Arabidopsis thaliana: one gene and its partners. The protein of the gene in region 1 interacts with the protein of each later gene in a pairwise test. Each region holds a gene or a part of one and is shown in the gene's direction. Other genes may lie near its edges.

Region 1 (3,760 bases):
GTCCCCAACGTTAACTCTATCTTTACACATTGATGCATAATTCTCCACATATTAATAGTCCGTGTTTATAATATGTATAACTTTAAAAAATTGTTCCATATTCTTATGTTAATTTTTTTGTTTTAATTCAATATTCATTGACTGGTATTGGTCTACATTTTAACATGTACATGCTTTCCCTTAATTAATACTTAATATATAACCTCTAATAAATTTCTGATTCAATTCAAATTTTATTCTTAGATAATATTCTCTCTTTTTTGTGTGTGCATATCAGCCTCAGCCATATTCATTGACTTATTCTTGTTCTATGTAAATATGCTATGGGACCTCCCACTCATATATATTTAGGTTGACCATTTATTTTACATGCATGCAATTGAATTTAGGGGTTAATCTAAATCGTTGCGTATATGAATTATATATGATTTTAGTTTGTATATTGAAAAATGCATCGTCGTTCTATACATAAGCTAGTTTAGTAGCTAATAGGGCAATATTAACAAAGTTGATTTTCTGGTTTGTAGTGTCCATACAAGTAATTTAGTTAATTATCTCGTTTGTTCACCTTTTTGTTTCTTTTTTCTTTTGCTAGCTAGTTAATTGCGGATGTAAACTACATCTTTTACTAATCGATGAATGGAAAACGTTTTTGTCGTAGACAAATATTCCACCGTACCTAACGGTTTTGGATTGCATGTATATAATAAATTTGTTCCAAAAATATACGGTCTATTAATTTATAACGAAGCTCATCATTGCTTAGAATTGTATATTCACCTCATAATTAGCCAAAAAGGTTTACCCTACCATAAATGATAAAATCCCTAGCCTTGTGGAATTTGTTTCGTTAAGATATTTGTATGTATGCCTCCAATTACGATATATGACGATGTAGACAAACTATAAGTCTAGTATACGACTCTCCTCGTGCGGTCTTAATTGAATAGAATACATAGAACTTTAATATATTCACTTTAAAAGTTTATATTTTCCTATAAAGAAAATATTTACAAATCTTTGATTACTATTTACTCCAAATCAAGCATGATTAAGAAAATAGTATATAGAACAATTGTATGATAAATTTGGATTTAAAAATTACTTCTAAATTATAAGGTAGTAAAGAAAAAGAAACCAAAAATATAAGAATAATAGATGTGCAATATCTTTGATTCAGGTGAATTATATTTTAACTTAGATATCTCAAGTCATTTTAATGTTTATATCAGGAAATAAAGAAATAAAAACCATCATGCAACAAATCATGCATATATATTAGATACATCCGTAACCGCTTTTTTTCGTCTTTTTTTTTTGTTTTTTTCGTCGTCACATCCATAACCGTTTTGATATGAGATCTCCGATGTTCAAAATTCAATTTCCCCCAAAGATATCAATTTAATATCTAATATATACTATTATTTTAAGTTTGCGCAGTAATTTAATAATCTGAGACAGACATGATTTACTTAATGTATACGTATAGTGGCTTTTACACACATTTTATATTGAAAGAAATTCAAAGGTATTCAAGCTAAGAGGATAAAAAACACAAATGAAAAAGATAGCGACAGTATCTTTTCACAAAGGAACGTCTGTGTACTAGTCTGAAACTTTAGTTCTCTTCCTTACTAACGATAAAACATATTTAACTAAACCATAATTTATTTACAAACAAAACAAAAAAGACGAGAGAGAGAAAAAAAAGCCGTCATCTGATCTCTTCAAAAACGCATCGTATTCTCTCACATTTTTGCATCACATTCGTTTCTTGAATCCCCTCTTTCAGAGAGAGAAAGAGAGTCAGAGAGAGAGAGAGAGAGAATGTTCCATGCTAAGAAACCTTCAAGTATGAATGGTTCATATGAGAACAGAGCTATGTGCGTTCAAGGCGATTCAGGCCTTGTCCTCACCACCGACCCTAAACCGCGTTTGCGTTGGACCGTCGAACTCCACGAGCGTTTTGTGGACGCCGTCGCTCAGCTCGGCGGCCCCGACAGTATGAACACACATACACAAATATATATTCAATCCATTTAACCAATTATAAATGTGTTTTTTCAAAGTTTTTGATCATTTCTATTTGCAGAAGCGACCCCAAAGACGATTATGAGAGTTATGGGTGTGAAGGGTCTTACTCTTTACCACCTAAAGAGCCATCTTCAGGTATGTACACAAATATAGATTAGGGTTTTTTTCTTCCTTGCTTTTAATTTTCTCTCCTCTTTATCTTTTCTATTCTTTTTTTCACTTAATAATATAATATAATAATCTAACAACTTATTTGGATCTATGGGTGCAGAAATTCAGGCTTGGAAAGCAGCCGCACAAGGAGTACGGAGATCACTCCACAAAGGAAGGTTCAAGAGGTGACCACTCTTCCTTTCTCTATCAAATTAGGGTTTTTATAAAAAAGTTACCCATAATATAGATATGTATTAATGTATATATATGTTCTTTGATCCGTCTTCTTCTAATTTTTTTTACCGTACGTGTAGCTTCTGCCATGGATATTCAGCGCAACGTAGCTTCTTCTTCTGGCATGATGAGTCGCAACATGAATGAGTAATATTTTAATCAGATTTCGTTAATTTTCTCAACTTTCATTTTAATATATATTACAGCAACTCACACCAGGTTGGTTTGATCAGGATGCAAATGGAAGTGCAGAGAAGGTTGCATGAACAGCTAGAGGTAATTAATTAACCTATAGATATTCTATGATAACTGCTTGTACAAAATCAATTTGTATCCCATAAATATAGTAAATGATTTCATTCAATTTTTATAGGTGCAAAGACATCTGCAACTGAGGATTGAAGCACAAGGAAAGTACATGCAATCTATCTTGGAGAGAGCTTGCCAAACCCTAGCCGGTGAGAACATGGCAGCCGCCACCGCAGCAGCCGCCGTCGGAGGAGGATACAAGGGTAATCTGGGAAGTTCGAGTCTTTCAGCAGCGGTGGGCCCACCTCCTCATCCTCTTAGTTTCCCGCCGTTTCAAGACCTAAACATCTATGGAAACACAACCGACCAAGTCCTCGACCATCACAACTTCCATCATCAAAACATAGAGAACCATTTCACGGGTAACAATGCTGCAGACACCAACATTTACTTGGGGAAGAAGCGACCTAATCCTAATTTTGGTAACGATGTAAGGAAAGGACTATTGATGTGGTCTGATCAAGATCACGATCTTTCCGCAAACCAATCGATCGATGATGAGCATAGAATTCAGATACAGATGGCTACACATGTCTCCACGGATTTGGATTCTTTGTCGGAGATCTACGAAAGGAAATCAGGTTTATCAGGTGATGAAGGGAATAATGGTGGGAAATTACTGGAAAGGCCATCGCCTAGGAGATCACCATTGAGTCCTATGATGAACCCTAATGGTGGATTAATACAAGGAAGAAACTCGCCATTTGGGTGATACAATTTATTAATTTTTATCTATGAGTGATGCATGGGAATGTAAGAACGAGATATATATGTTTTGTCATTGTGAGTTTGACGTAGGGTTTAGAGATGAGACAAAACAAAACAAAACAAAAAAAAATAAAAAATATATAAGCTTTGTTATGTTTACCGGATTAGTTTTGCTCGTGTTTTATAATCTGTACGGAAACTATATATTATTGCTGTTCTTATAATATTTTAGGATCTATATATTTTGTACTTATTCGTTACTTATTTCTTCTAGTCAACTGTTTGATGATTGATCTTTACATTGTTAGTCTCAGTAGAATTG
Region 2 (3,760 bases), on another chromosome or scaffold:
TATATGGAGTTTTACCCGGAAAAAAAAACTCATTAGAATAAAAACTAATTCTTGTTGTTATTTACTTTTTACACAATGAATTTAACCAAATTGTAGAGAAATTACCTTATCTACTGCTTTTATGTTAATATAGTTCATAAGAAATCTGAAAAACACTATGCACCTAGTGCTGTATATTCAGAGACTGTTGTATGTTTTATGTAAAAACTGAAAGAGAGATGTGTAAGAAGTGGGTCACCAAAGTGAAGTGAGTGACATTTTGACGTGGAGACAAAGGTGCAGTGCAACACAAAAGAGAGGTTAGTCGAAAAGCCAGAGAGATTAAAACGTTGTTTTTTGCATATTTTTCTTTCCCACTCACTTTTTTTTATATAAAAAAACACATTTGCAAATTATCATTTATAAAAAGAAAATACTTTAACTATATCCTTCTTTATTTTCTGTTCAACCAAAATACTTTAAATATCCAACACAAACTCACATTTTAATTTTTGGTGATCGTTGCACTTAGTATGGTTGTTGCACACATTAGAAAAACTAAATTCTATAGGATTCAATTGTTCTAAAATTCTAATTATATATGTGAAAAGATGAAAAGCTGTCAGATTATATTTCCCTTACTGTATGTGTTACTATTAAAAACACTCCAGATTATTTTTTTTAAAAGCTTTGGAAATACTGTTTTATTTTTTTCATTTTTGGGTAATTTTTAAAAGCTAATTTTAAGATTGGTTGCTTCAATTGTGCAAGATCGATCCAATAACAGTTAAAAAGGCCCCACCAGCGATTCCTTTTCCGTGTCATATTTTAGAACTTACATGTATATTGGGCTGATCCATGGGCCCATCTGTCACCCTCATACAAACTATATATAAATTATAACACACACACAGTCTCATATATATATAACAAGTTGTCAATGAATAAATTGACAATACAATTTGAGATTATGTCTTACTTTAATTAATTATTTTATGGTGCGTCTATATTGTATCATGATGTTAATGTTTGGATATATATACAAACAAGTAATTTTCACATCAATTGCACTCTTCTTTTAATTTGTTTGGTAACCATGAAAATAAGACCATCTATTTATTTATCTATGAATGAATAATTAAGGAGGTAGGTGAGTCACTGAGAGTCAAGAGCAGTTTGTGATGGGAAAGAAGATACACATTACAGAGATCAACGGCAGAGATGAGGAACCCTACAGTATGATGACGTCATCGTTGACAGTGGTGGACCCCACCTCTCGGGTCCCTCGAAAAGAGCGGGATGAGAGATTTGTTTTCATTCATACACTTCTCAGTCTTCTGAATCTTCATCACTCTTAAACTTTAGGTTAATTTCATTTTTTGTAAACATATTTTACATCTATCTTAACCCAGATTTATATACGGTACGAATTTATTGAAAATATGGTATAGTTTGGAGGCATGAAAGAAGTAATATCAATATTGACAAGGAAAAGAGCGAGTTTATTTGTCTAGTGATGAAGAAGGACCCATAGCTTCGTCATATCCTCTCCTCCCACTGAGCGTTTCACTCACCAAAAAAGCTCTCTTTAATTTATTTTATCTTCTATTCCTTTATTTAGCAAACATTTTTTTAGTATTTGATTATAAAATCTGTTTAATTTTTGTTTTGGCGCGAGAGTGTGCGTCACGTGAACAAATTTACATTGTTATATCCCAAACGGAGACATTAATATGAACAACCTCGGCCATTATATGTCATATCGTCTTTAAAAAATGTTACACAACATTGTGAACTCAAATTCAGAAACTTGTTAGCGGATGAATCGATAATGACGAGTTCACAATGTAAAACTATGATAACATTCTCTTACACACAAAAACTAATGTGGGAGTAACTTGTACATATCTCTCTATTTCTTTCTTAGGAGACTAACAATTTGGAATTAGATCCAATGATTTCTATAATGTATGCATAAATATGTTATTGGTTAAGAGATGTGGTGTGTTTATATCGGTATTATTACCGTTACAAATATCATTGTCTTAAAAATAACAAAGAAAAATGTGTGGACCCACAATGAAATCAGACGGTCAGATTTTAATCAAACGTTGATCCACTTTCTAGGGCTGACCTTTCTTTCTTCTCCTCTCTTTACCTCTCTCTCTCTTCTAAAATCCAAAGCTTGAGATCCCGCCGTTTCTCTCTGGTCATCATCCTCTTCTTCAGTGACCGCAAATCTGCATGTTTGGCAGTGGTTTTTATAGACCGCCGGGAGGGTTAGATCTAGGCGTTAAGAATGGCTTACATGTGCACTGATAGTGGCAATCTAATGGCTATTGCTCAACAAGTCATCAAACAGAAGCAGCAACAAGAACAACAACAGCAGCAACATCATCAAGACCATCAGATTTTTGGTATTAATCCTTTGTCTCTTAACCCATGGCCCAATACTTCCCTCGGGTTTGGGCTTTCAGGTTCGGCTTTTCCCGACCCGTTTCAAGTTACCGGCGGCGGAGATTCCAACGATCCTGGCTTTCCTTTTCCTAACTTAGACCACCACCACGCCACAACCACCGGCGGTGGGTTCAGGTTATCTGATTTCGGCGGTGGAACCGGCGGCGGCGAGTTTGAGTCCGACGAGTGGATGGAGACTCTTATCAGCGGTGGAGACTCCGTTGCAGACGGTCCTGATTGTGACACCTGGCATGATAATCCCGATTACGTAATCTACGGTCCTGATCCATTCGATACTTACCCGAGTCGACTCAGTGTCCAACCGTCAGATCTAAACCGAGTCATTGACACGTCGAGTCCGCTTCCTCCGCCGACCTTGTGGCCTCCTTCTTCGCCATTATCGATTCCTCCGCTTACTCATGAGTCACCAACCAAAGAAGATCCAGAGACTAACGACTCCGAAGACGATGACTTCGACCTAGAACCACCTCTCCTCAAAGCTATATACGACTGTGCACGGATCTCAGACTCTGACCCTAACGAAGCTTCCAAGACGCTTCTTCAGATCCGAGAATCTGTATCGGAGCTAGGTGATCCGACGGAGCGAGTTGCATTTTACTTCACGGAAGCTCTCTCCAACAGACTGTCTCCTAATTCGCCGGCGACGTCGTCTTCTTCTTCATCTACGGAGGATTTAATCTTATCTTATAAAACCCTAAACGACGCTTGTCCTTACTCCAAATTCGCACATTTGACGGCGAATCAAGCGATTCTAGAAGCGACGGAGAAGTCGAACAAGATTCACATCGTCGATTTTGGAATCGTTCAAGGTATACAATGGCCTGCTCTTCTTCAAGCTCTAGCTACTCGTACTTCTGGTAAACCCACTCAAATCCGGGTCTCGGGTATACCCGCTCCATCTCTCGGTGAATCTCCGGAACCGTCGTTAATCGCCACCGGAAACCGCCTCCGTGATTTCGCCAAGGTTCTGGATCTGAATTTCGATTTCATCCCAATTCTCACTCCCATACATTTACTTAACGGGTCAAGTTTCCGGGTCGACCCGGATGAAGTACTGGCCGTGAATTTCATGCTCCAGCTCTACAAATTACTCGACGAGACGCCGACGATAGTTGACACCGCACTACGGCTCGCCAAATCGTTGAACCCGAGGGTCGTCACTCTCGGAGAATACGAAGTGAGCTTAAACCGGGTCGGTTTCGCTAACCGGGTAAAGAACGCGCTTCAATTCTATTCCGCGGTTTTCGAATCCCTTGAACCGAACTTGGGGCGTGATTCGGAGGAGAGAGTGAGAGTTGAGCGA
Region 3 (3,760 bases), on another chromosome or scaffold:
GTCACGACGAGGCCCATCGAAGGCGTGAACAAAGCAAAGATGCGTTGCATCACCCATGGAGGGACTTTCTCCGTTAGAAATGCTCTAAGAGACTTCTGTATTTTGGAGTGTCATTCGATCATAGTAATTTTTTTTTTTTTTTTTGTTGTTGTTGTCGAATCATAGTAATGTGTTGTCAATGATCAAATGAGAGTTAGATTATGTTTAAGGAAATGTATATGATTAAAGAAATAAGGAAATTCCTTTACCAACTTTATATTGTGGTAATTGTTAATTACTTCCCGCCGATCTTGGTTTTTTTTTTTTAATCATAATTATTATTACTTTGGCTCTAATGAGATGAAGAAATCTTCTCTATTTTTCTTTATCCTTATCAGTCCCATGTGATCTCCTAATAATAATTGATCAATTTTTGTCTAATCTAACTAATCATCATCCTAAAATCTAATACAAAATGAACGACGCAATCATTTATATATGGTTACATGCATACAAACTCTAACACGTTATCCTTCAATATAAATTATTGTTTGACAAGATTAATATATTTAGCTGACTTGTTTCTTCCTCTAATTATGGCAAAGCACGATTCTGTTCATCATACGAACTATCCGATTGAGTGGGGTTGGGTGTGTTGCTTGTGATGAAGGGTGCCTTGAGACGAGAGAAAAGAACATGTTTTCACCACGTAACTTACTTCACCCTCACGAAGTTAACACACACATATATTTAGTATTCCAATATACCAAATATTATATTAATATATCATGAAACTTGAAAATGTGTTGGTGTATTATGTATGTCAATAAGAAATAATATTAATACAGTTTCGCGATCATTTCAAGATTTATAATAATTTTGTATAAGAAAGAAAAGTGTGAGAAGTAGTTGTTAGCAAATCACATGGGAACATATAAACTAATTAAATCTTAAAAATGAACATTTTAACTTTTTGTTGTTATATAAAGTAAGTTAACTATCAATAATCATCAAATATTTATGGTACTTAACAAGTATTATAATATGGGACTAAAAATTACTATACAAGAAACTGAACTCTGTGTTTTTTTGTGCGGTCATAATTCGCATATAAAAGATAGATTCAGAATCTGATATTGTTTATACTTTTTTTTTTTTCTTTGATATTGTTTATACTAATGAATTGGTTTGCATAGAAAAGTAAATGCTTTTTCATTATCATGAATACATGATAATGAAACTGTCGCCATTCATTGCAAAATTGGTCCGATTTTAATCTGTCTTCATCAATTACCCACCTCTCTTTCTTGTTGTTTTTTCTGATTGCTTTATTCATTTATTTATTATAGGGTTTTCCATTGGTAGATATATTTATATATGTATATATATGGTGATTGGTGACTTCCATTGTCTGCTCAATAAAGGACTACCACTCGTTCTTTCTCAATCTCTCGTGCATTTAACTTGTCACAGAAGAAACATCATTCACAGATCTTCAATCACTTTTTTCCTTCAAACGAAAAGATGTACCAAAGAAAGTATGTTTTTATATACACGTAAATATATATATAACTCCTTCTTTGTTATAAGTAGTACATGAATGTTTCAGATAATGACGATCATTCGTATCTCGTTAAGTTAAAACAAGAAAAACAAAACAGATATTTTTGATGTAACTCCAATATATACATAGTTTTTGTTTCCACTTTGTTTAGATTTATAAATTTAGATTATGTCCGTAGCAAAAAAAAAAAAAAAAAGGAAACACAAATTAATATAAGCACTGCAATATGTGGTTTAGCTCGTACAATGGATTGGGTGATTTGAGTGGTTAATTTGATAAAGATGATCCAAAAGCTTGTCCAAACCCTAAAACAAACTATTGGGGACAAAGATCACACAAAAGGAAATAACGACAGCACCTTTGAGATAAAACAAAACAAAACAATATCCCAAATATAGTTTGCAAGCCACAAAGTTTTAATCATGAAAATAAATTATAAGAAAACAAAAACATTCCCAATATATTATGACATCCTTTTTTTTTTTTGGGCAAGTATTATGACATCTAAATATACAGTACAACATCAAAAATATGGGGAAAATGTTTTTTTTTTTTAATAGTTTCTAGTAATTCAAGAAGACAAATACAATATTTAAAAATATATCATAACATTTAGTATTTTTGTTTACCATCATGTTCATGTCACTGAAAGGAGTTTGCAAGCCACGCGCGTGATGTAAGAGTGGGGTTGTAATAGAAGACATAGTTAAGATTAGAAAGCAAAGATTAACAAAATGTTGTGTAAGAGAAGCTGATGAATTGTTTAATCAGCTAAGTTAATGACAAAGGCAAAATGATAGGAAACGGAAATAAGAGAGAAAAAGAAAGGAGGAAGCCCACTTTGCCACTTTAATATCTTGCACGCATCCAATATACCTCACCACACCACATCACAACAACGAAGAAGAAGAAGAAGAAGAAGAGCTTCAAGAAGACAAATACACTATTTTTTATCGTCTGCAATGCCCTTACCCTTTGAAGAGTTTCAAGGGAAGGGGATTTCTTGTTTCTCTTCTTTCTCGTCTTCCTTCCCCCAACCACCGTCGTCTCCGCTTTTGAGCCACCGCAAAGCAAGAGGCGGCGAAGAAGAAGAGGAAGAAGTTCCCGCGGCGGAGCCTACCTCTGTTCTGGACTCCCTCATAAGCCCAACCTCTTCCTCCACGGTGTCTTCCTCTCACGGCGGAAACAGCGCCGTCGGAGGCGGCGGCGACGCCACCACCGATGAGCAATGCGGAGCCATTGGGTTGGGTGATTGGGAGGAGCAAGTTCCTCATGACCACGAACAGAGCATTCTCGGACTCATCATGGGAGATTCCACAGATCCCTCTCTTGAACTCAACAGCATTCTCCAAACATCTCCCACCTTCCACGACTCTGACTACTCATCACCCGGTTTCGGAGTCGTCGACACCGGCTTCGGTTTAGACCACCACTCTGTTCCGCCGTCACATGTTTCCGGTCTTCTGATCAACCAAAGTCAAACCCACTACACACAGAATCCTGCGGCTATCTTCTACGGCCACCACCACCATACACCTCCGCCGGCAAAGCGGCTCAACCCTGGTCCCGTGGGGATAACAGAGCAGCTGGTTAAGGCAGCAGAGGTCATAGAGAGCGACACGTGTCTAGCTCAGGGGATATTGGCGCGGCTCAATCAACAGCTCTCTTCTCCCGTCGGGAAGCCATTAGAAAGAGCAGCTTTTTACTTCAAAGAAGCTCTCAATAATCTCCTTCACAACGTCTCCCAAACCCTAAACCCTTATTCCCTCATCTTCAAGATCGCTGCTTACAAATCCTTCTCAGAGATCTCTCCCGTTCTTCAGTTCGCCAACTTTACCTCCAACCAAGCCCTCTTAGAGTCCTTCCATGGCTTCCACCGTCTCCACATCATCGACTTCGATATCGGCTACGGTGGCCAATGGGCTTCCCTCATGCAAGAGCTTGTTCTCCGCGACAACGCCGCTCCTCTCTCCCTCAAGATCACCGTTTTCGCTTCTCCGGCGAACCACGACCAGCTCGAACTTGGCTTCACTCAAGACAACCTCAAGCACTTCGCCTCTGAGATCAACATCTCCCTTGACATCCAAGTTTTGAGCTTAGACCTCCTCGGCTCCATCTCGTGGCCTAACTCGTCGGAGAAAGAAGCTGTCGCCGTTAACATCTCCGCCGCGTCCTTCTCGCACCTCCCTTTGGTCCTCCGTTTCGTGAAGCATCTAT

What was found.
Region 2: the proteins of APL (region 1) and AT5G66770 interact in binary tests that used the Arabidopsis thaliana proteins (3 or more experiments, as listed by UniProt).
Region 3: the proteins of APL (region 1) and HAM3 interact in binary tests that used the Arabidopsis thaliana proteins (3 or more experiments, as listed by UniProt).

What each region holds. Positions count from the first base shown.
Region 1 is NC_003070.9:29,877,203-29,880,962, reverse strand, and holds APL (Homeodomain-like superfamily protein), read left to right. Parts: upstream 1-1,683; 5' UTR 1,684-1,827; coding exon 1,828-2,002; exon of another isoform or gene 2,003-2,092; coding exon 2,093-2,169; intron 2,170-2,305; coding exon 2,306-2,372; intron 2,373-2,501; coding exon 2,502-2,568; intron 2,569-2,654; coding exon 2,655-2,697; intron 2,698-2,794; coding exon 2,795-3,442; 3' UTR 3,443-3,735; downstream 3,736-3,760. UniProt on the Arabidopsis thaliana protein: Transcription factor required for phloem identity. Has a dual role both in promoting phloem differentiation and in repressing xylem differentiation during vascular development. Regulates the expression of the transcription factor NAC045 (AC A4VCM0).
Region 2 is NC_003076.8:26,658,445-26,662,204, forward strand, and holds the start of AT5G66770 (GRAS family transcription factor), read left to right. Parts: upstream 1-1,866; 5' UTR 1,867-2,278; coding exon 2,279-3,760. UniProt on the Arabidopsis thaliana protein: Probable transcription factor involved in plant development.
Region 3 is NC_003075.7:57,851-61,610, reverse strand, and holds the start of HAM3 (GRAS family transcription factor), read left to right. Parts: upstream 1-2,115; 5' UTR 2,116-2,505; coding exon 2,506-3,760. UniProt on the Arabidopsis thaliana protein: Probable transcription factor involved in plant development.